Drosophila melanogaster: one gene and its partners. The protein of the gene in region 4 interacts with the protein of the main gene of each other region in a pairwise test. Each region holds a gene or a part of one and is shown on either strand. Other genes may lie near its edges.

Region 1 (8,527 bases), on a different chromosome or scaffold from region 4:
TTAAAATGCACCGATGCTGATAGCAACTACACAATTGTTTTTCTCGCGCTTTAAATTCTTCGTTGTGATCCCGTTCGAATTCCAGGCTCGACTGACCCACACCCAGATCGCATTTCAATTCAATTGGACTCGGGATGAATCTCTATCTCTGCCGCCGCTGATAGATGCTCTCGTTTGTCGCCAAACCAATTGAGTGGACCACACTATCAGGGCTTGTAATCTCAAGACCTTTTTGCTGTCTTATCGCCTTGTTTTGTTTGCATTTCTTTTGGGGTTTTTCACTCATTTATTTACTTCTATGAATCTGAGATGTTGGAGCTTAAGAATGATGATGATGAATTACAGTGGCGCAGTCGCATTTAAACAAACTAAACGTCATACCCAAATTAGACTAGGTGATTATGACTAAGAGACTAGATCATTTGGCTGCCGGCTTATCAGCCGGCGCCCTCTCGGCAAGTCTTAGCCTCTGCTGTATTTTTAGCCAGAGCAGATCGTACGGCTCACTGAGTTCCGTTTGTGTTTTGGGAATTCCCACAGATCGTCGCACTTCCGGCGAGAGGATGAGCAGATTTTGAGCAAGGCCAAAACTGCTGGAAGCTACCCAGTATACACATAAAGCTGAAGGCACTGTACAGGCTACTGGAACCATCACAACACTCAATCCACGGAACACATTGTTGGCGATGTTCTGCAAGCGTGTAGAAGGACGAGTTCTAGACATGGCTTGCACTTCAATGATGGCCAAATTGATAAGACCTAATGCTACAGGCAGGATATAAGAGTTATCCACCACCGTAAGGTTTGGTATCCAACCAAATCCGCCAATGGTCATTTCGGTGGTCACGATTTGAGCTTGAATGGACGTGGGATCCGGCAGCATGTACACTAAATTGCGCAGAGCCACGGATTGAAAGATCCACAGGGGAATCTGACCCCATAGCACAATCATGGTCTTCATGGGATGGCAGTTATCCCGAACTATAAGGTTCTGCCACTGCTTCTTGATCTGTAAGATAATTGACATGACGAAGAGTGTCTCGCAAACATTTGAATTTTAACAAACCGAACGCCGATAAACAATCTGAGTCTGCTTTTCGCTCCACTTGAACTTGTGCTTGGCCATGGCTGCCTCTTTTTTCAGTTCCTCCACAATGGCCGGCATCTCCAGCGCTATCTTTTCAATTCTGGCGGTGATTTTGTGCTGGTAAATGGTCAGAGGCAGGGTGACCACGCTCCGAAAAAGGAAAGTGGACAGCACGATGGACGCCCACCAGGGCAGGCCACTGTAGTCGTGGATCTTAATGAGAACATCCTGCATATAGGCCACCGGCGTGCTGTTGGACAAGGTCTGCCAATATCCCACCAATCCACCGGCATTTGCCAGTTGGACACTCGCGGCCGCCGCTTCTGTAGACGACAGACGATGATTGCATGTGTGATTCGCAATAGTTGTTCCTTGGTATGTGTATTTGTAGATGCCAGCAATTGATGAACTTCTACAGGTGCGTAAAAGAAGCAAAGCTGACATTTTTAATTAATATAAAACTAATAATCAACGTAAACAACTATATAGAATCAGCAGTGCGAGTTGTTATCATTGTGAACAGCTGATTGTTACCATAACACGGCTTCAATCAGTGTGGCCGTAGCTAGGCATTGTAGTTGCATTAACCCTTAACTTACGATGCTTTTTTTGCTATCCGAAATTAGGAAACATTGAAATGCAGTTATTAATTTGAAATCATTTAATCGTTGATAAGAGAACAATAACAAAATTTATACAGTCATTTTATACGACAGCAACACTTTTATTTCCTTTGCATTTTTACTCACTTTGAAATTTCTAAATTAATAATTATCTCGGCTTACTTAAAATGGCTAGACCTAATTTAAGTGCATAAATTGTTTTTTAATTGACGTTTAATTTCATACGTATATGCTTAAGATAAAATTGTGCTTGTATTCATATTTGTTTTCTTGGTCTTGGCATATTTGCGACCTCGTGCGACGGTCACTCTAATTTGGCATTTTAAATTGTGCAGCGTACTCGGCTGCACTTGCAACTTTTCATTGTTTGAAACGCAATTAACATTTAAATCGAGTAATGAATTTTAGCCAACGCCAACCAGAATGGCACAGAATACCATCGGTGGCACTAAATCACATATTCGACTATCTAAATCCCCAGGATCGTCGGTCGGCAGCGGGTGTATGTTTTTCTTGGAGACATGCCTTATTTCAAAAACGGTAAGTTTGTCACTGTGTGGGTGTGTCCGTATCCGTGTGGGTGTAGGTATTTGTGTATGTGGCTGAAATGTTTAATTTCAGTACTTATTGGGTATATTTCCTTTGTTATTGCCCCTTACATTATATAGCCGTGGGTTAATCAAGCGCAAAAAAACATCTGTGCAAGCAAGAACGAATCGTAGACCCCAAAACTTGTTCGACATTTATATGTTGTACTCTTCGCATTTGGCAAGCTTTCAATGTGTGGGGGCAAGCACCTAGGTCCGTTTGTTTATATTAGTGTTGAAAAAAGGGGAAAGTCCACGATAAGAGGAATTCCCCTGCCAATAAATGCAATTAATTAAATTAATTGATGCGATAAGCTGTGAGCTGTAAATTGCGATCTTAGCGATTGCGAGAAAGATACTTATTTTTCTTACCTTTTCTATGCTGATTCATTTATTGTATTTATAGTAATTTTCCTATGTTATTTAAATTAATTATATTGGTCTTTTGGACTAACAAATAGAAAAGAAATAAGCCCAATTTTGTAATTTAGTATTTACATCTATATATAATTAATCATTACCTATTTTTCACCCCTCAGCTATTTTAGAAACTTTCGCTTTCAATTGGATGTGGGATGCGATGATCAGTTGGCCTTCTTCCATCGCTCCATGGCCAACTTGGCCATGGAACTGATAGTAGTCTTCGACTTTCAAAATGCAGTTCACATCCAGAAAATGCGAGGACTTCTATACAAGTAAGTTTGCTTTAGAAAACCCAATGAGGACTCAACCTAACCATTTTCCATCCCACAGAGTGGCGCACTGTGATAACATCCAGAAATTGCGTTTCCAAACCCACAATGTCGGCCTTGTTGCCATCGGAAACATGCATAGCGAGCACTTGTTGGCCATCGAACAGTATGTACCATTAGAAATAAATAAAAAGTTCAATAGTTAGATATCCTGACAATCCCAACAGATGCTTTGTGGAGCCGTTGATTCTGTTTTTAAGCCGCAAGCGTCAGCCCTGCCAGCTTCTGGACCTTGGAGCCATCGAGGCCCTCTCATACTATGGCCATGATTTTCTAAAGGCTATGGGAAAACCACAGGAACTGCTGCAGCTGACACTCGCGAGCATCAAGTACGATCCTAGTCACTATCCCATCCTCTCGTTGGACTCGACCCTGCTGCAGAAATGCGCCGCCCTGCAGGTGCTCTCCCTCGACTACGACACACTTTCTGACGAACTGCTGCACACTATCCAGGTGCTTCCGCTGCGGAAACTTTTGATCGCAGTGCACGGCCTGGATAGCGAAGAGCATCCCGATGTGTCGGAGACGGCCTGGTCCAACTTTTCGGATCACTTTTCGAGCATTGAGTTGGTGCTGACCCTTGTGTATGCCTATGAGGCCATCGCACTACTGCAGCATCGTGTGCTGCGTAGCAATATGCCTGTAACCCATGTGCGACTGCTATTCTGCGAAAAGATGAACGCCGAAGCCTTGGACTGGATGTCGTTGCATTACAGGGAAACTCTGCGCAGCATTCACTATGTGGACGCGCCGTACAAATATTCCAATCGCATGAACTCCAGTCGCCGTGTCTCTTTACTCCAGGATCCATTCGTAATGATGGCCTGGCGCTGCAAACAGCTGGAGGAGATCGTAGTGCACGGGTACTTGATGGATCCGCATAACCTCGTGGGCATTGCCCGTCTTCGGGGTCGGCAGCTAAAGCGTCTGGAAGTCTCCATGATCGATTGGTCAGGCGCTCCTTTGCTGAACGCCTACAATGAAGTGAGTTCTTTAAAACGTCCTGTAACTAAACGAGTAACTTAATTGATTATCCTTCAGGAGATAAGCACCTTACTGGGACAACAATGGTCACCCATCAGCTTTGACAAAATGCCGCCATCGTTGTTCTACGACAACGATTTACGCGATCAGTTCGTGTACGAAATGCTGCGCCAGGATCTCCGCCAGTAAGTGGTCGAAATAGGAAACTACTCAAATATAACCAAAAATTGAAGCAGTCATCAAGTGAACGAAAGAAATGAAAACATGACACGTGATCAACTCGAGCGCATAGAAATTAATTTATAAATTGCAAAACCTAATTACGTAGCTAAACAAAAAACCCAAAAGAATAATGTAAGCAAAAAGAAAATTTAATCGTCATAATCGTCACCAAACCTTTTGATTGGCGAGCATTTCATAGATGTTAAATTTTCCTAATTTCTTAGCCTTTGTAATCAAAATCGCGATTAGCCCTTGTTTATTAGTACAAAAGCGACAGATCAAGAGCGACAGGAATGTTAGGAGCAAAGCAAAAGACTTGAGCACTTCACAAATTTATGTAATTATGTAACGGGGCGAGATGAGTTTGTTGAAACCTGCTAGAGAAACATCATTTTATAAGCAACAACAACTGTGATTCAAGCGAATGCAGCAGATGCAAATGCAAGCCAGTGTGAAAGCAAATGCTATACCCAGCTCTCATACAAAGAATAACAAAAACGACAACAGCAAGTTGTTAAGCGAATTGTCTAGTTAGCTAAGTTTAAAGTAACAAAAAGTGTTGAAAATGTTTGTAAAACCAAAACTACGACCAATGTCAAATTGTTTGCTCAAAACGACGCAATTGGCACAAATTGTTAACCTTTGTAGTAGTGTGAATAAGTACAGAATCTGGCGCTCAATTGTGATAAACCAACAAACAACAACATAAGCAAATGTAACAACAACGAGAGCTAGATCCTCGTTCGCTAAGCGCCGCCATTTGTGTAGTTTAAAGTGATATTACCAGCAACAGCAAAGCAAAATGTAAGCAAATACAAAACACCACACAGATATATATGTATTGTATGTAATAGCCAAATGGAGCTAAGGAAATAGCTGTCGTGCGTGTGGTGCATGCGTTGTGGCCAGATAAACGGGCCAAAAAGCCAGGCAATTATAAGACCCAAATCCAACTCTTAAGTATTTTGTAGCACAGGCATTAATTATACAACTATGTACTATATTTAACCTATGTTTGCACAAAACAGCAGCGTGTTGTTACGAGCCGCGGCTCATCCTCCGCAGACATGCTTGCCGACCAACAAGTACAACAGCAACAATGACAACATCAACAGCAACAACAACAAAAATGGTACCTGAAGATCATGCCGAGCATTTAGAGAACAACCGAACAACAACCGCAAAGTACTTGCTCAAATGTAACAATCTAAACAAACACAAAATCTATTGAAACAGAAGACTGAACGATAAAGATGGTGTTGACCTTGTTGTCAGAGCAAAACGGAGGATGGCAATTGGTTTCTGGGACAAGTAACAACCGCAAACAAAATGCGATCTCACAGATAACTCCTACAACTATCCAATCGACCATCTATATTTGTATGTATGAATGTATCTATATGTAACCAATGCATGTAATCATTTTTTATGAACTGCAATAGCAAATATTATTTTTTGTAAAACGAGTTCAATTCATGTGTAAAGCGCGAAGCAAACTAAGAATGTTTGTCAAACAGCAACCGCAACACGGCCACAGAAAAGTCAAATCAAGAACAGAGTCTTGGGTCATAAAGAGATTGCAAATCGACGGCCTACATTATGTAACCAGACCTGTTTGTATGTGGCTGTGCATTTAATTTAAGTCTAGTACGTACCAAACACAACAACCAACACCAACAACAAATGTGATAAAAGTGTCATGCTGCTTCCACGAACAACATAATGTGCAAAATAAGACCTAAGATACTGCACTATTGAAGCAATGAGAACGGTAGTAAGCATTGGAAAGACAGGGCCAGATTAATGGGGGATATAGGTTATATGGGCTCTATTTTATAGCTCCCTGATACACCAGTTTCTATAGTATTATTTTCCAAATTAACCGCCTAATTGAATAGCTACAATTGAATTCGAAGTTGCCTTCAAAAAGTACTCACAGCGCGTTATTAAATTAATAAGAAAAAGAGTAAACTCCTAATATTGTTTATCGAGGAGTTCGATTTGTAAAAAGTTAAAGGAAAGTGCTATTAGCCAAAATAATGTGTCATAAAGCTATAAAATAGAGCTAGGACTGTAAAAGATCGTTAGCTCAATATCCAGCCCGAACTAATTGTCAATCAATGGATTCATTCAATTACAATCAACGTAAATGAAACAAGTATTAAGTTTTTCTGTTATACTAGTGTCACTTCCAACGCTGCTGTATATGAGTAACGTTCTTTTGGTATACTTACTACAAAACAAATATATTTTATATGCCATTTATTGTATTTAAATTCGATGAGAGCGAAAAGAATTTTGTAAACCATTCCACAACCACAACAAACCAATGCGATTTATGCTAACGTATGTACTGATCCAGTAGCAACACTACAGAAGGAGGAAAAAAGACCAACCAAGTTTAAGATAATTGTTGATCGAGAATAACAACAAGTCAGGGTGTTAATATATGTATGTATGTAGGGTATGCTCGATGTCGACATTCAGGGGAACAACAAGTGTGACATGGGCGAGGAGGGTAGAAAATCCGAAAGACGATATGTATGACAGCCGTGCATTAACAGCAATGTTTATATATATGTATATGCAAGTTATGCTTAAAAGTTATAAGAGCAAAAGTGAAGAAAGCTGTGATACAACAAGATCCAACAAAAAGGGCAAACGACAACCGACAACACACAAAGATAACACCAACACATTAAACTACAAAAACAACAGACAAGCCAATTCGAAACGTGTGCGACCAACAAAAGTATGTTAACAACCTTTCCGGAACTAAGAACCAGTATAAGTACCGACCGGACCATCTGAAATGAAATGGCCAACGAGAAGAATTCAAAATGAACTATAGGAGATCGGATCAGATCCAGTAGTAGCTAGCTTAGCGGGTTAACGAAGGACGAACGCGGGGGAACCAAAGTTTTGAACCGAAGTGTTTGAGTGAATCAACAGCGTGCGGAATTAGATTGATATTCCAGTCAGGATGAAAAGTGAAGATGAGAATGATTCAAATGTTAAATTATATATCGATATGTAGTAAAATAATACACATACAAAATGCACATAGCTTAAAATATATGAAAGCAAGCGTTTTATTCAAAGTCAATTTCCATTTGATTTGCAATGATTATGTTTTGTGCAAGATTTTAAAGCTTAATCAACCGAGGCCAACAGCAGTTTGTGTGGCATATGCAATATCATTACAATGTAAGACAACCAAGATATATAAACCAATTAAAGCGTAGCAAACAAAATGCATTCAATTGAAAAACCAATAAAAAATGTTTGAAACTTAAATCAAAATTGTGCTCCTAATTATTTACGGAAGGGGCTCGAAAGTTATCCTTTTCAAGTGCTTTAATCTTTATTTTCGTTGCATACTTCATGGGTTGTGTTATACAATATTTAGTGCTGTAGGCCGAAGGTAGCCGATTAAAAGTACATAATTCGTGATAATAAAAACTTTTTGTCAACAAAAACAGAACACCCACACTCGCAGGAACTTCCGCTGAGCAACGCAAGCGCTCCAGGATGTTTTCGAGCTTTTCTCAGTCCTTGAACTTTTGACCTTGTTTCTGGTCGCCTTTCTCGCTGCCGCGGTTATGTAAGCAGCTGTACGTATCATTATGCAACCTGGTCCACGGGATTCACGGACTCTGTGCGCTTGCCATTGCATCTTTGCCGTTGCAGTGGCTCTCAAACTGCAGAGTCTTCGGCGAGCGATAAGACCCCAATCATCATCACCCAGGCCAATTAAGTGGGCTTTGCAAAATAGATAGCGCTGTTGAATGAATGACTGAACAGTACGCTCGAGTTTATTATCTGGATTTATTTGCCCACGACAGACAACCGGCGAAAGGCGTCAGCAGCGCTTTTTCGACCAAATTTGATAGTTTTGGCCTGGGCCAAACGCTGCAGTAAGCAAAATAAATAGTAAACATTGAACTGATAGTGCCAATTGGAAAAGTGACTCGTCCAGTGCCCAAAAACTGTTTCCGAAAATTCTTTTCTTTTATTGATTAGGCAGCCTTTTGACCAGGTTCAACGCGATTATTGACACATAGCGGTGGCATAGCGTAAGCCTATGAGTAACATTCCGAATCGGAGAGTACACGGAAATAAATATTGAAATCGTGCACAGAGAAAAATAATTAATTAGTTACAGAAAATTCATAGATTTACTATTAGTTATTACTACATTGAAATATCTACATTTAATTATTTGCTAGTGTCCTCTAATAAATATGTATATCCTTTATAGTAGTTAACTCT
Region 2 (5,077 bases), on a different chromosome or scaffold from region 4:
CTGTCGCACCCCCAATATGCGCTTAAAGACCATCCTAATCACGCTGAGTTGGTTTGCCAATGAGACGGTTTATCTGGGACTCAGTTATTACGGACCAGCGCTGGGCACCAATCAGTATGTCAGCTTCTTTCTGTCGGCTGTTGTGGAGCTGCCGAGCTATTTGTGCTGCTGGTACTTCATGGATACCTGGGGCAGAAGATGGCCATTGAGCTTATCAATGATATTGGGGTAGGTGTTTGACCCATCATCTTGTGTTTTTTGTGTAAAATTCGAAGTCCAACATTTTTCAGTGGCGTGGCCTGTGTGATCACTGTAATGTTGCCCGATGATGCCGTGGATGAGACCCTTGTGCTGTATCTAGTATCCAAAGCCTTGCTATCCGCCTCCTTCCTGATCATATACCCCTTTGCCGGGGAACTTTATCCCACTCAGGTTCGGGGTATCGGCATTGGTGCTTCCAGTTATATTGGAGGATTGGGTCTCATTGGCATACCTTTTATTACCTACTTGGGAAAGGACAATCTTAAACTGCCCTTGGTCATCATGGGCTTCCTTTCGATGCTGGGCGGCATGACGGGATTGCGGCTGCCGGAAACACTGCATCATCGCTTGCCGCAGACCATCGAGGAGGGCGAGGAGTTTGGCAAGAACTGGCAGTTCAAAGATTGCTGTAGATGCGCTCAAAAGCCGTGAGTTCAATGTGCATGTGGTGACCAAGGCGGGTATAAAACTAATTTAATATATATTGTGCTTACTTTTTGCAGAGAGATTTTATCTCAACCTGCGTCGTACGAGAACCTGGATGTCCTGGCTGGATCCTCCACCAATGCTTCTGAGGTGGAATTGGAGCTGCGGGACAGTCGACGGGTTCGGGAGCCGGCTCCCCGCATTGACGAGCGTACGCCCCTGGACACAACGGCCAGTGGAAGTGGGCGACCTGTTCATCGGCCCTCGATGAAGCGATTAGTGCGCCAAATGAGCGTCATGGACACCCAGAGGACGCATGATGGCACCATGCAGTTGACTCATTGGATCTAAGATTTGTAGCGACAAATCTAATGTATTGTCACATCTAGAAGAGATTTCTTAAAATTAATTAGATAAACTGCAAGGCTATTCTTTGTTTTCGCTAAAGTTTAAAATGATTGCATATAAACTATTTACTAATCTATTGCTTAACGCTAAGGGATATCTTTTTAAATATAGAACTATGGGCAGAGACTTCTTTAAAAACAAACATACAAATATAATTAATCATAAAAACTTACCATTTTTGCAGCACAATGTTAGCAATTGTCATTGTATGAAAAATAACGAAATTAATGTTTCAACAAGTTACTTAACATATAACAGCACTATTTAATTGCTTACTAATTTATTTATAATTTAAATAATAGTTCTCTAAGTAAACGCTTTTGATTCCGTGTTTTAGAAGTATTTGCTATGAGCAAATAGAGCAGCATACTTTAACTGCTTAAAATTAAATCTATAACAATTTCCTCCTTTAAATACCAGTTTTCTTTTCCTTTTCCATTACTTTTCCATTAATTATAGGGCATTGCCATTATGCCTAAGTTGTTTGCTTTTGTGAATTACAAAAGCTTTGTAAACAAAAACCGAAACTTAATTCTTCAAACATATCCGGTAAAAATAAATAAATAAATAAGTACGTGTAGCGTATATCGTATGGCGACTTCTCAATCACCGGTAATTGATTTATGCATTTATTCAGACAATTATGCAATTAATTGTTGTCAAACAAAAAGAAAACTTGCTCATGCGGTGAATAATAGAGGAATGCGCGAAATTGCCCCCACCTGTCGACCGTAAACTGCTGGCGGTCACTGTCAACCGTAGGAAGTGCCTGGACCCATGGGAATTCATAATGCTGGATCAGATCACAAATATGTTGACACCAAGGAGATCTTGCAAGCAAAAATGTAGTTTCTTAATATTGCTACTTAAGTTCAGTACGCAGTTCCAAATCCAAAGATTCGTTAAGATGGTCCTTTGTCCTAGTCTTTTTCCCTATAGATCTCTGGAGTATTTAGATTTGGATCTTGAATTACGGTATCAGGACTCTAATATTTACCCGGTTACACAAGGTCGAGCTTGATTTTCCCTTATTTCCTATCATAACATCTGGGCAGTGTCAAAAATGAATTAATCTAAATTTACGTACAAGCAAATAATCCAAAAAATGCCTAAGGCGAAAACGCATTCGAGATCAGTGAAGACTCCATTCCCAGTTCGCTCCAATCGCCCGGGTGGAGTCCAAAAAAGTGAGCCATCGCCATCGCCATCGCCATTATGCAGGACCAGTCTGCTTGATCTGCCGGAGGACATCATCCGACTGGTTCTCGAGTTTCTGCCCAGGATTACCGATAAGGTTCTGCTGGCCTGTGTGGCGCCCAAGTTCCGAGCGGCCTTCGAGGGCTGGGCGAGAGTGCAACGAAATGCTTTGGACATGGTTAGTCTGGAGACGGTGCCTCTGCCGCAATTGATCAGGTTCTTCAAGGTGGCGGGACCCTTCATCAGAGTCCTTCAAGTGGACTGTGCGTCCTACCAAAAGGAGTCCCTGCTGGTGGAGTTCGTAAAGGAATACTGCCCCAATCTGGAGGAGATTAGTTACTCGAACGCCACCGATGAGTTTCACTACCGATCGATTATGTCCAAAATGACGCACTTGAAACGGGTGACTATTGAGTGTTTGGATGCAGAGGATGTGCTCAACTTTGATATGCAGCCCAACCAGGAGCTGGAGTTTTTTGAACTGGTTAATGGTTGCTATACAGGTAGGTATGCACTGCACTCTATTTATGCGTTTGCGGGACTTTATTTTCGCAACAGGCCAAAATCTCTGCGGTTTTCCCAATCTCAAAACTTTGGTCCTTCGAGACTGTCTGCTATGGAACTCGATGGAGTTTGGAATTCCGCTTAAGTCGTTGCACACTTTGGATCTCGACGACTGTTGTTTCGAGGTTATGAATGTGAGCTTGTACCAGAAAATCGCCGAGAGCTGCACGAACTTGGTGGAACTGATCTTCTCCGGCTGCGACACCAACTTCGAGGTAATCGCCAACCTGCCCAAGCTGGAGCGCTGTACACTGAAAACCTGGATGACCTCCAACGAGCTGAATATTGGGTTCCTTACGGTTCTGGCAGAGAAACGAGGAAACAAGCTCACCCATCTGCACCTATCCGGTCAGTTCAATATCACCAATGAGCACGCCAGGTGCCTGGGACAGTTGAGTAGCCTCACGGATCTGCGGTTCAGCAACAACGATATCCTGGACGACGATCACTTCAAGTTCTTCAACGATCTCAGCCAGCTGGAGCGATTTGGTCTGACCGCGTGCGGTCGGGTGATGGACGTGGGGATGATGAGGATGTTGCGGAAGTGTCCCCAGTTGAAAGTTATTGATTTGACCGATTGCGAGCAGATCACCGAGGAGTTTGTGATCCAGGCCATTGGATTCTGCTCGAAGGGATCAGGTCGTGATGTGGTGCTCAATGTAAAGGGAACCATGATCAGGCGGCCTATATTGACGGTGGGAAAACCGGGGCGGGAGTTTCGAAAGCATATACTAACACTTTCATATTTTGCAGCATCCGGATTACGTGAATTCCTTGAATCGTCTAAAGGTTAATTTTATTTAAAACGACACCACTCGAATGGAAAATGGTAAGAAAATAAATGTCTATGAATTGTTGCAATAATTTGATCAAATTTTGTGTTGCCAAGGAATCATTTCTTATTGAACATCAAATATCAAGAGAGACACTGCCCAAAACCAATCAAATTTGATTTCTATTAATAAAAATCAGTTTAAAAGGAGTGCAAGTATTATTTTTGCCATAAGGAACCGTAGCTGTGATTTCTGGATTAGGGAATAGACGTGGTGGGCACTTCTTCCGTGAGTGGAACATTCGATGGCCTTGGAGCGCGGATAGCTAAGACAATGGGATCCTCACTGGATCGATGAGTCATGACCCCATGGCTGCCATAAGGAAGTGGACGATCGAAATTTATGATCATCACAATGCTCACAATGCTCCATTAGAACGCCGATAATTGCGGACAAACGTGTGTGGGTCGTGTCGCTGCACTTTGGGCCTTTGGCTGTAGTACGTCAAGCGGCTGGCTAACAAGCCAAACGAATGGAAACCGAAATCGAACAATACGCGATATTCGATACAGTTCTGAATCCGCGATTCAATTCGATCCAAGCGATCGATCGCCGGCAATAAATTTCGCATTCAATTGCTGCTCTATTGGAACTGAACTTTGTTGCTTTGTTGGCCGATGATGTCTGTGTTAGCAGCAGGAAGCTAAGTGACCGCGTCCAGTTGATTACACTTGGAAAAATAGAAAACATTTTGTTTAATTATAGAACTAATGTATCTTGCAGGACTCTTATAATACATATGTCCAGTTGGGTTCAATTAAATCTTTTAACCAGTCATTCTTCACAGGTTTTTTGTGTGATTTGGTATGACACCTTTTCTCTAGAATTATTTGCAGTGCAGATCGTAGAGCGAACTCACCTGTGGCCACTCCACTACTCCACTGGTTAGTCATCTATACGTTTTGATTGTTTTTTGCGTGTGCTATTTGTTTTACACTGACCTCGAGTGGCTCCTTAAATGGCTGTCGGCGGCTGCAATCGCCGCGACTCTCCGATCGACGGTGCTAGAAGGGGTTAGCAGGGGGTTAGCAGTGGGTTAGCAGGGGTTCTGGTGGCCAGGGGCACCCCGGCGAATGCCTTGACATGTTCAGGTGTCCGCCATGCTCGGCTATCTGACTAATTAGTGTACTTTAACTGGACCAGCAGAGCAGGCAGCTTGCTGACATTTGGCCACAAGTTGCGGTGGCATCTTCGGCTCATCCGGAGGAGCAGGGTTTGCATGAGTGGGGCACATTAAGCAGGGATAATTTGGCGTACCCTGCCCCTTTGCAGTATCGTATCTGGCAGATACTACTACTATATACTCGAAGCGTGTCCAATCACGCCTGTGAATTATTTAAAAATCTCGCTGGGCTGTCGTATTTCATAAGAGAGACAAGCCTTAAAAT
Region 3 (4,605 bases), on a different chromosome or scaffold from region 4:
CTTGGGCGCCTCTTCCTCCGAGGAGCTGTCATCGCTGGAAGCTGCCTTCTTGGCAGGAATTGCCTTAGCTGGCGTAGCCTTTGCTGGAGCTACCTTCTTAGGAGCATCGTCTTCCGAAGAACTATCCTCAGTGGAACTGTCGGCCTTTTTGGTGGGAGCAGCCTTAGAAATGGGCTTTGCGAGAGTTGCTGCCTTTTTGGGTGCCTCGTCTTCAGAGGAACTATCATCACTAGAGGAAGCCCCCTTCTTAGCAGGAGCCAACTTGGCAGCAGATTTAGCAGCGGGTTTGACCTCCTCCTCTGAGCTGCTGTCTTCGGAACTAGAAGCGGCTGCCTTAGGAGCTGGCTTTGCGGCAGGCTGGACGGCAGGCTTCTTGGCGGCTGGCTCGTCATCGGAGTCGCTTTCCTCGCTGGAGGATGCTGCTTTCTTTGCCGGTGCAGCCTTGGCTACAGGCTTGGCAGCTGGCTTAGTCTCCTCATCGGAGCTGCTTTCTTCGCTGCTGGAGTCGGCCTTCTTGGCGGGAGCAACCTTAGTCGTTGTGGCCTTGACGGCGGGCTTTGCCGGTTCTTCCTCGGAACTGCTATCCTCGCTGCTGGACTCAACCTTCTTCGCGGGAGCCGCCTTGGCCGGAGGTGCCTTCACTGGAGCAGCTTTTTTGGGTGCTTCTTCCTCCGAGGAACTGTCCTCGCTGGAGGATTTTGCCTTCTTGCCGACAGCCTTGGCCGGCGTGGCCTTTGCTGCTGGCTTCTTCTCCTCCTCTGAATCGCTGTCCTCGCTGGTTGAAGAAGCTGCCTTTTTGACAGCCTTGCCGTTTGTTAGTGCAGGAGCTGTCGCTGGCTTCTTAGGCGCCGCATCAGACTCAGAGTCTGAGTCGCTGTCTTCGCTGGAGTCTCCGGCTGTCGCCTTGATTGCTGGGATCTTTTTGGGGCTTTTGGTCTGGTAGAACTGAAGGATTTCACTCAACTTTGGGCTGCTTTTGGCGACACTGGCCTGCAAGTTAGAAAAAGGCAGAAATTCTTGGTTATCTGGACGAAGCACGTGGCACTTGCAGCAAGTGGCAGGTGGACAGCTCGATGAGCCATCGGCGGACAGCAAGGCCCTCGGATTCTAGATCAGGAGGACGCAGATACCACATGTTTCGGGTGCATCCAAACCGCACATATTGCACTTGCCGCTCTGCACTGAAACTTACCGCCTTCGTCTTCTGCTGGAAAACCTTGGCTAGGTTCTTGTCCTTGGACTGCAAGTACTCCAGGACGATTGCATCGGCTATCTTTAGCAGGTCTGTCATGATTAATTCAACTATTCGTCAATATTTTCCGTCCGCAAATAATTACTAGCCGCTTGTCCCACAAAAAAGAATGCGCACTCACACGTGTTTTCTACTTATCAGTGGTATGGCAGCACTACGCGGCTGCCAACGGTGTGGCCACCCCTGCACCCCGTTTCTCAACACTGTCAATGCAGCGGGTATTCTTCCCAAGAATAACTCGAAAATGCCAATCAATTGTAATCATTTATTTATGCCACACCGACAAAGATCTTGAAATTAGAAATAACGCTAGGCTACGTTAGACAAAACTAAAATTACAAATTTATTGTTATATATGTCTATGTATATATATATATGTATATATATATATGTATATGTATATATGTAGACATATATAACAATAAATTTGTAATTTTAGTTTTGTATATATATATATATATATATATATATATATATATACATAGACATATATAACAATAAATTTGTATTGTTAAATTTGTTATATATATATATGTCTATATGTCTATGTATATATATATAAATTACTAAACTGTATTATTAAATTGTATTCAAACAATTAGCGTATATATAACATAATGTAAGGAACCTACGTTTTTTGCGTGAGGTATTCAGACCATCCACGACTGGTCACATTGGGGGAGCACCAAAATGTATTTTTGTTTGTTATTCAATTGAGTTGACCTGCTTGAAACGATCCAGAATACAGAAACTATCTCTCGCTCCGGCTATTTTAACAGACTCTGTACCTAGATTGTGTCGCGAGGATCGCATCCCGGGCCATGGCTTCCGAGCCGAGATCCCTAATTCTGCAATTGGACGACGACTGTCTGGCCGAGATTTTCGATCGCTTGCAGGACCTGCCGTCGGAAGTGTCCTTCGCGAGGACTTGCCGGCGAGTGCAGTACATATGTCTGAGCAAGTGGCGCACCAGCCATGCCTACGAGCAACTGGATCTGGAGAAGTGGCGGGTACTGTTGCCCAATCATGAAGACCTGGTCTACTTCCTAACCCAAATGCGTCCGTACATCAGAGAAATGGGCGGCAGCAGCTGTCTGTGCTCCATTCTAAAAGATCTGGACGAAATGCACATTGCAGAGCTGCCCATGGTGACCAGCTTCTACTACGACCCAGACGGCGTCGATTGCTATCCCACGAACCGAAGCATCCGCAAGCTGGCCCGCCTGCTGCCGGGCTTGAAAAAGTTGCGCCTTACCACACCCATCGACGGGCGGTACCTATCCAACTTCCAGCACCTGCAGGAGCTGCACCTCTACGAGGACCAGCACAAGGCGTTTGAGCTGCAGCAGAAGTACCTGGACGAGGTGTGCCGGTAAGTAGTAACCTTCTGCTGCATAATATTTCGCAACTCATTTTCCGTTTGCGCCACAGCACGCTGCACGATCTTCGGGTCCTGGACATTAGGACGTACGATATGATCAGTAAACTTCAGCTGGGAAACTGCCTGCAGAGCTTTAAGAACCTCACTGATCTTAAGCTCAATCTGGCCACCTTGAAACCCATTCTACCCGCCGTTCTGGAGCTGCCCTCCCTCAGGAAACTGGTGGTGCTGCTGGACAACGAGTGGCATATCCCCCCGCTGGTCAGTCCGGATAGCTATGACCACAAGATCCGCGAGGTCAGCGAGTTCTACGAGATCATGGCTTTCAAGGCCAAGGACATCGTCGGCTTTGCCGTGGACGGGTACTATATGCCCCTTGAACCGGGCTGGGATGAGAAGCTGCCCATCTGGACGCATCGCAGGCTGAAGCGCCTGGCCATTTGCAGCTGGACTCATTCGGCAGACTACCTAAAGCGCTATACCTGTATGACAGAGCTGCAGCTGCTCTGCGTGCGCAACTGGAATGACCTAAGCGACGAAATCCTCTTAGAATTCGTGGAACTCTGTCCACGATTGGAACACCTCGACGTGTCCTACTGCCGAAATCTGACGCCAACATTTTTGCCACGGGCCTTGAGTATTCTTAAGCGGCGGGAGCCGTTCAAGCAGAAGACGGGAGTTGGACGTTCGCCACCTCTGAAGCTCTACTACGACCTAAGTGGCTTTGAGGACTTTGTGGATAGAGCGGTTACTATTTCTTGTTTATGTCGCTCTTCTTTTATCTAATCAATCAATCCATTGCAGAACCTAAAGAGCTCTTTGGAATATAGAGGATATATTGTCTTCACCGCCGACTTTCCAGTCGACTCGGAACGCGGTCTGAGCTTTGTGGACCGCGGATACCAATTTGAATTTCACTGACCTCAAAATATGTAAATATACAAGCGTAGATTCATACAATAATTTATTATTAAAATTTATGTTGCACAAAGTACGCCAAATTGGATTATTATTTCAAAGTTTTGAGTGCTCCATGCGGACTTCCGTGTTGTTTTCTAAGGCTGTCCTTCACGTAGTGACAAAGAGCACCGTAGTTAAATTATTTAAATAAATTTGTTTTAATAAAATAAATATGAAAATGAGCTGACGATAACGTGCAACATTTTTACCTTTGTTCCCTGGGAATCATTTATAGCTATGAAATAGCTAGCTGAATACCCCTGATAATATGTATATTGCTACTGCCAGGTATAATAACTGTAAGATATAATTTGTAGTTTGGAAGTCAACTTGTTGTTTCCCCAAAAACTATAATGCAATCGATAGTGTAACTCCCGCTCCTATGGATATCTAATCTGCAGGCAAAAATTATTAAATTTGACATTTCAAGCTGAAAAACGTTTTTGAATTCAGAGCATAAGAAAACAGTGCTGTACATATCAGGCAGATCCTGAGGAACAATGATACGATAGGTGAAAACTCGGACAGCGATTGTGAGTACGGATTCCTTAATGTCCTTCACCTAGCTAAACCGAGTCCAGTTTCCAGTTACCATAGAAGACTGCAAAGCGGTTTCAAGCGGAGACATACTCGAGTTCCCTGGGGAGAACTCCAATGAACACGCGGCTTCTTCGTATAGTAAGCCGGAACTGACTGGCCCGCTGAGGAGCCCAGCCGGAAGGTTAAGCCCCCGTACCGTCAGACTTTTCCAAGAGGAAAAGCTACGCCTGGTCAGAGCACACCGACATTTTTATGAACAGGAAAACATCCGCGCTCAGGAGAAGCACGTGGAGGAAATGGAAACCCTATGTGCGAAGCGGGAGCTCCTCTTCTTGGAAATCGCTGAAAACAAAAGAAAACTTAATGTACACTTTTAGATGCATTTTCGTTGGCTAAATTACGTGTTTAATGGGACTTCCTGAGGGATTCATGAGTTAAAGTTTGTAGTGTTAAAAATTCTCAATATGTACAT
Region 4 (4,866 bases):
CGCCGCGTGTGGTTAGAGCCGACGACCATTCTGCACGACAGTCTGCAAGGATGAACAGCATTACAAGTATATTCAAAACGATGTGCACACTTTTTCACTCAAATACTAATACGATCTTAGATATACCAATTCCACCAAACCCAATCAACCCGGCAATTGTCAGCTGTTTTGGAATTTGAATCACTGACAGGTATAAGCTCTTTTATTACATCTGGCAACGCCGCTGTTGTCTGCGAACACGACAAAGAGCGAGATGGACATAAGCTTTCAGGACAAGACTAGGACAAAGGCAAACGTCCTGCACCCATACATACACACTCTCTCACAGGATTGGATGACTTGCAATAATCCTCAATCCGCAAACCATATGTTCCGGCATTTTGCCAATATATTCGCTCCGTTGAAAATGGCCCTAATTTAGTTTTTATTCCTACGGCTTCGCGTTTGAAAGAGAGAGAGAGAGACCGAGAAAGAGGGGGCTTGTAACTGATGTCGTCGACAGCCATCCCTCTCGCTCGCACTTATTCCAAGCCCTTTTAGCCCATGCACACACACGTTTAACAAAAATCAATTAACTTGAAAGCACATGTAAAAAAAAGTATTGATCCACAAAAAACAAAAGGCACTTCGGTAATCCTGGAATACACACACTTACTGCCGAAAATATTTAAAATGAATGGGTACGCGTATATATTTATATGCTGGTGAACAAAAGGCGAGCATAACAAAAATGTCTTATCGATTTGCATGCGCAGCAGACAGTAATTGCAAATCTTGTATTTTCTTGAGTCTGTGCAACAACTGAAATACCTTTCTGGGCATAAACTATCATAAACACAAGTGGGTGGTGCTGGGAAACATCGCTGGAATTGAATATTTGTTTGTTGGTCGATTTGTTCTGAATGGAAACGAATGTCGTTTGCAAATTGCTCTCTCAGCTGTTTACAAACGCATACCACATAACGCAGGTGAGAGAGAGAGGGAGGCATATGCGCAGTGAGAATGGAAGATGAAGGGTTGCCAAGTGCGCAAAGGCTTGCAAATTAAGTACACTTGTGTGCGGGGTAACCGAAAAACGGGTGTTTACAATAAATTTCGCTGGGTGGATGTAGCTTTGTAATTTGAGTTCGCCAATTTTTTTTGTTGTTAACAGCATTTCGAAGCGGTTGCCAACCCTAGACGCTGGCTGGTTGCATGGTAACGAAAAATGGCGGCGCCTGTTACACACACTCACACACACATGCACGCACAGTCTGCTGTGTTTATGCACTTCATGCTGTTCCGATTTTTTTTTTGCACTTTTTCGATTTGTTGTCTGCATTTACCTTAAATGAATTTATTAACTAAGGCGATATTGTGCCTCTCGCTCAATCTCGCAAAACGATGCTTTGTCTGCTGCTTCTCTGTGCGTGTGTCCGTCTCTTTCCACGGCTTTTCGTCGAGACTCACATATACAAACGGCGACACACTGGATTGGAGCTGGACTCCGTTTTGGATGGCTTGGCTTTGGCTGCGTACCCAAAATAAATCGCGCTTGCAGTCCCAAATCATTTTAGTTCTTGACGCCTTTGTTCCACAAAAACTTCCAACCGCCGTCCATGGCTCGTGCTTTCTCTTTCGCTCGCGAGACGCTCCAAAAGTCGCGAGTATGGGAAGAGAATGTATCCCTCGCTCTTTCACGCCTAGAAGCGGCTGTAGCACACACAAGCACACGTAAACCCAGCCGTATGCATATACATATATTCCCTCTACTAGCGAGACGTGTGTACGTGCGTATGTATGTATGCTTTTTTCACTTCTTTCTCCTCTGCGTTCTTTGCACCAAGTGTCGCTGTTGCTATTTGCTACCGCCGCTCCTCTTGACGAATAAGTCGGGACTTGTATCAGCTCTAATTCGGACTTAGTTTACAAAATGCGGCTGCTTTTTTTCCGCGATACTCGGATTAGTGATGTAAAAAGACGTTGATGCTTCGACCACTGAAGTCAGTGCGATATGTATCGATAATTGAATGCCATCGATTGCTACGATTAAAACTGCCACCGCAGTTAGCGGAGACGCTCACCATTCTCTATTCGCCATTTGAAAGTATCGGTGTAATTTGTTTTCAGAGAAATTAATTTCCGTTTACTGTGCAATTCGGTGTGAAAGTGTTCAGATTTATCAATGCGTATTCTGCTTTCGACTTCGCCACCAATCTGTGCTGCAAGTTACCATTACCAGGTCCACCTGGTTCCCGCCAGTTTTCTTTCATTGTGGCTAGTTGTTGTTCGTGCCTTCGATAAAGACGTTTAGAGGTGTTTTTAGAGTTTCGCCATCTGGTCACTATAGCCGTTTCGTTTTTTACGTGAGTATTGTGAATTTGGTGTGTTGATTTATATCTCAGTTGGAGCCTGCGTGGAAATAGTGTCAGTACGTTTAAAGGCATCATCGTAAGGTTAGTCGGAAAACAAATAAAAAGCCTACAAATAGCAAGCAAGAACGCTTTCGCAACCACAAGAAAAACGAACATACGCACGCATCCATCTGTGGTAGAGTCGGCTTGTGTGGGGGTGAGTGGATGTGTGGGTGAGCATTTCTGGAAAGTGCCGTTCTCTATGTTTCGATTCTACTTATCCCTTCATCACCATTTCATCGTTGAATCATCACGAAAGAAACATCGAAAGTGCACAATCGTTTGTTATCTTTGTACGAAAACAACGGTGATTTCCACACAGGCATAACCTGCAAGAGTAATACGATACAAATTTTGATCTGATATGACCTCATTTTAGTCGGTTTGAATTTTAAAGAGAGCGACTCTGCAAACTGCAGGGATATGAACATACAAAATTCACAAATGATTGTTTGCATCCTAGTTGCTTATATTCATTTACACGCATGCTTATATGCTTACATCTGTTATCAATAATTGACGACTTGGTGCATGCGAAGCAAACGCATTGAAATGACTATTGGGATCCACACACTGTTAAAAAACACACTGATTGCACTGCCACACATTTCTCAACTAGAACCTAATGTTTTATACTGAACTTAACTGCAGGAAAGCCCAAAATGCCCAGCATCAAGTTGCAATCTTCGGATGAGGAGATCTTTGACACGGATATCCAGATCGCCAAGTGCTCCGGCACTATCAAGACCATGCTGGAGGACTGCGGCATGGAGGACGATGAGAATGCCATTGTGCCGTTGCCCAATGTGAATTCGACGATTCTTCGCAAGGTGCTTACCTGGGCTCACTACCACAAGGACGACCCCCAGCCAACGGAGGATGATGAGAGCAAGGAGAAGCGCACAGACGACATTATCTCATGGGATGCAGATTTCCTAAAAGTCGACCAGGGCACACTGTTTGAGCTGATATTGGCAGCGAACTATCTGGACATTAAGGGCCTTCTGGAGCTCACCTGCAAGACTGTTGCAAACATGATTAAGGGAAAGACTCCCGAGGAAATACGCAAGACCTTCAACATTAAGAAGGACTTTTCGCCCGCCGAGGAGGAGCAGGTGCGCAAGGAGAACGAGTGGTGCGAGGAGAAGTAAAGCGCGGCATTTCGCGGGACCAACATTAAGTTGAAACAGCTAGGGGATTCGGGAACGAATTGGATTTGCAGCATTGCAACTTTACTTAGTTGCTACTTTCATTTACATTTTTTTTTATTTTTAACCCCAGCAGAGACTCGATTTAAATTGTGTATAAATGATCTGTTGCTGATTTGATTCGCGGGGTTCATTTTTTGTCGTAAATATATCTCATATACATACATATGCGAGATTGTAACACTCTCTTTAACCTATTGGAGTAACACTTGATTTCACTTTAATAAATATAACTACCCAACACAAAGACACAGCCTATTTTGTGGGCTTCCCGGAGGGGTTAGGGTCCAAGGACTTCTCAAATTAAGAAGTGCTCTTTATTCGTTATCTTGTGTTTAGAAACGTTTGCAAGCGTTTGAAATGGATACGCATGCCATTTATGGTCCAGTCGGTAAAATTTTACGTGTTCCCAAGAAGGTACATATATATCTTAGATTATCTTATCTATAGAAACTACATTCATAAGATCACGCTTTCGGCGAATAGCGAGTAATACTGTAGCTGCCACTTTGCCACTTAGTGTGCAATTGAAATGCGCGCCAACGCATGTTCTCATATGCGGAGCGTTTAGCAGCCCTTAAAAAGCTTTTCATGTTGCTTTTAAAAAGCTACGACGGGTGTGGAAATTAGATTTGTGACGCTTTATATATCTTTTTTTTATATCGTCTGGGGTACAGCATGGTTTTAGGATTTTAGAAGAAAGCAGTAATTTTGTAAGAATCGAAGAACGGGGGGATATTTATAATTTTCATATTAACCTTGTCTTTGTTTGCTTTTGAAATTATGAATACTTCGAAAGATAATTATCTTGTGCGCATTCCATTCTGGCTTAGACTGGGTTGAGCTAAAAATGATTTGAAATACAAATTTTTAGGTGTCCGCTGATATATAAACAGTATGATGTTTTTGCACTTTTTTCCCTGAAGTTTTCCTTGTTGTCTCGCTTGCCAATGCTGAACAAAGTAGCCAAAGGACCTTTACTTGAAGCTTTGAGAGCGGAAAATATATTCGGGGACAATTGCTTTAAGTGTGCACTAGGCTTGGCTAGATGCCCGTGCCAAACTTTCTTTGGAATTGATCGCTGGCCTTAGCCAAAAGTGGAAAAAAGAAAGGATAGGATAGTGCCGCACGTATTAAGGGTCTTCTTACAAAAGGTAACTGATATTAATTCATTTGCATACTAAGCAAGCTAACTCATCTGTTTATTGCAAACAAGCGCCAATTGAAGTTTTATCGAAGCTCAGGGCAGCGCCAATTGCCTCGTG

The links.
Region 1: the proteins of SkpA (region 4) and CG4911 interact in a two-hybrid assay, tested with the Drosophila melanogaster proteins (2 studies listed by BioGRID).
Region 2: the proteins of SkpA (region 4) and CG9316 interact in a two-hybrid assay, tested with the Drosophila melanogaster proteins (2 studies listed by BioGRID).
Region 3: the proteins of SkpA (region 4) and CG7148 interact in a two-hybrid assay, tested with the Drosophila melanogaster proteins (2 studies listed by BioGRID).

Annotation. Positions count from the first base shown.
Region 1 is NT_037436.4:9,066,211-9,074,737, reverse strand, and holds CG4911 (uncharacterized protein), read left to right. Parts: upstream 1-2,006; 5' UTR 2,007-2,107; coding exon 2,108-2,250; intron 2,251-2,836; coding exon 2,837-2,992; intron 2,993-3,050; coding exon 3,051-3,155; intron 3,156-3,216; coding exon 3,217-4,033; intron 4,034-4,090; coding exon 4,091-4,222; 3' UTR 4,223-7,543; downstream 7,544-8,527. Other genes in the region: CG4942 (uncharacterized protein), read right to left, coding at 419-1,009, 1,067-1,531.
Region 2 is NT_033779.5:20,723,580-20,728,656, reverse strand, and holds CG9316 (uncharacterized protein), read left to right. Parts: upstream 1-2,105; 5' UTR 2,106-2,200; coding exon 2,201-2,795; intron 2,796-2,850; coding exon 2,851-3,551; intron 3,552-3,609; coding exon 3,610-3,660; 3' UTR 3,661-3,685; intron 3,686-3,745; 3' UTR 3,746-4,448; downstream 4,449-5,077. Other genes in the region: CarT (carcinine transporter), read left to right, coding at 1-228, 291-689, 765-1,038.
Region 3 is NT_037436.4:21,829,565-21,834,169, reverse strand, and holds CG7148 (uncharacterized protein), read left to right. Parts: upstream 1-1,916; 5' UTR 1,917-2,073; coding exon 2,074-2,624; intron 2,625-2,683; coding exon 2,684-3,380; intron 3,381-3,437; coding exon 3,438-3,554; 3' UTR 3,555-3,626; downstream 3,627-4,605. Other genes in the region: Nopp140, read right to left, coding at 1-990, 1,193-1,291.
Region 4 is NC_004354.4:654,055-658,920, forward strand, and holds SkpA (SKP1-related A), read left to right. Parts: upstream 1-2,059; 5' UTR 2,060-2,730; exon of another isoform or gene 2,731-3,044; 5' UTR 3,045-3,055; coding exon 3,056-3,544; 3' UTR 3,545-3,845; downstream 3,846-4,866. Other genes in the region: Hmt4-20 (histone methyltransferase 4-20), read right to left, coding at 1-29.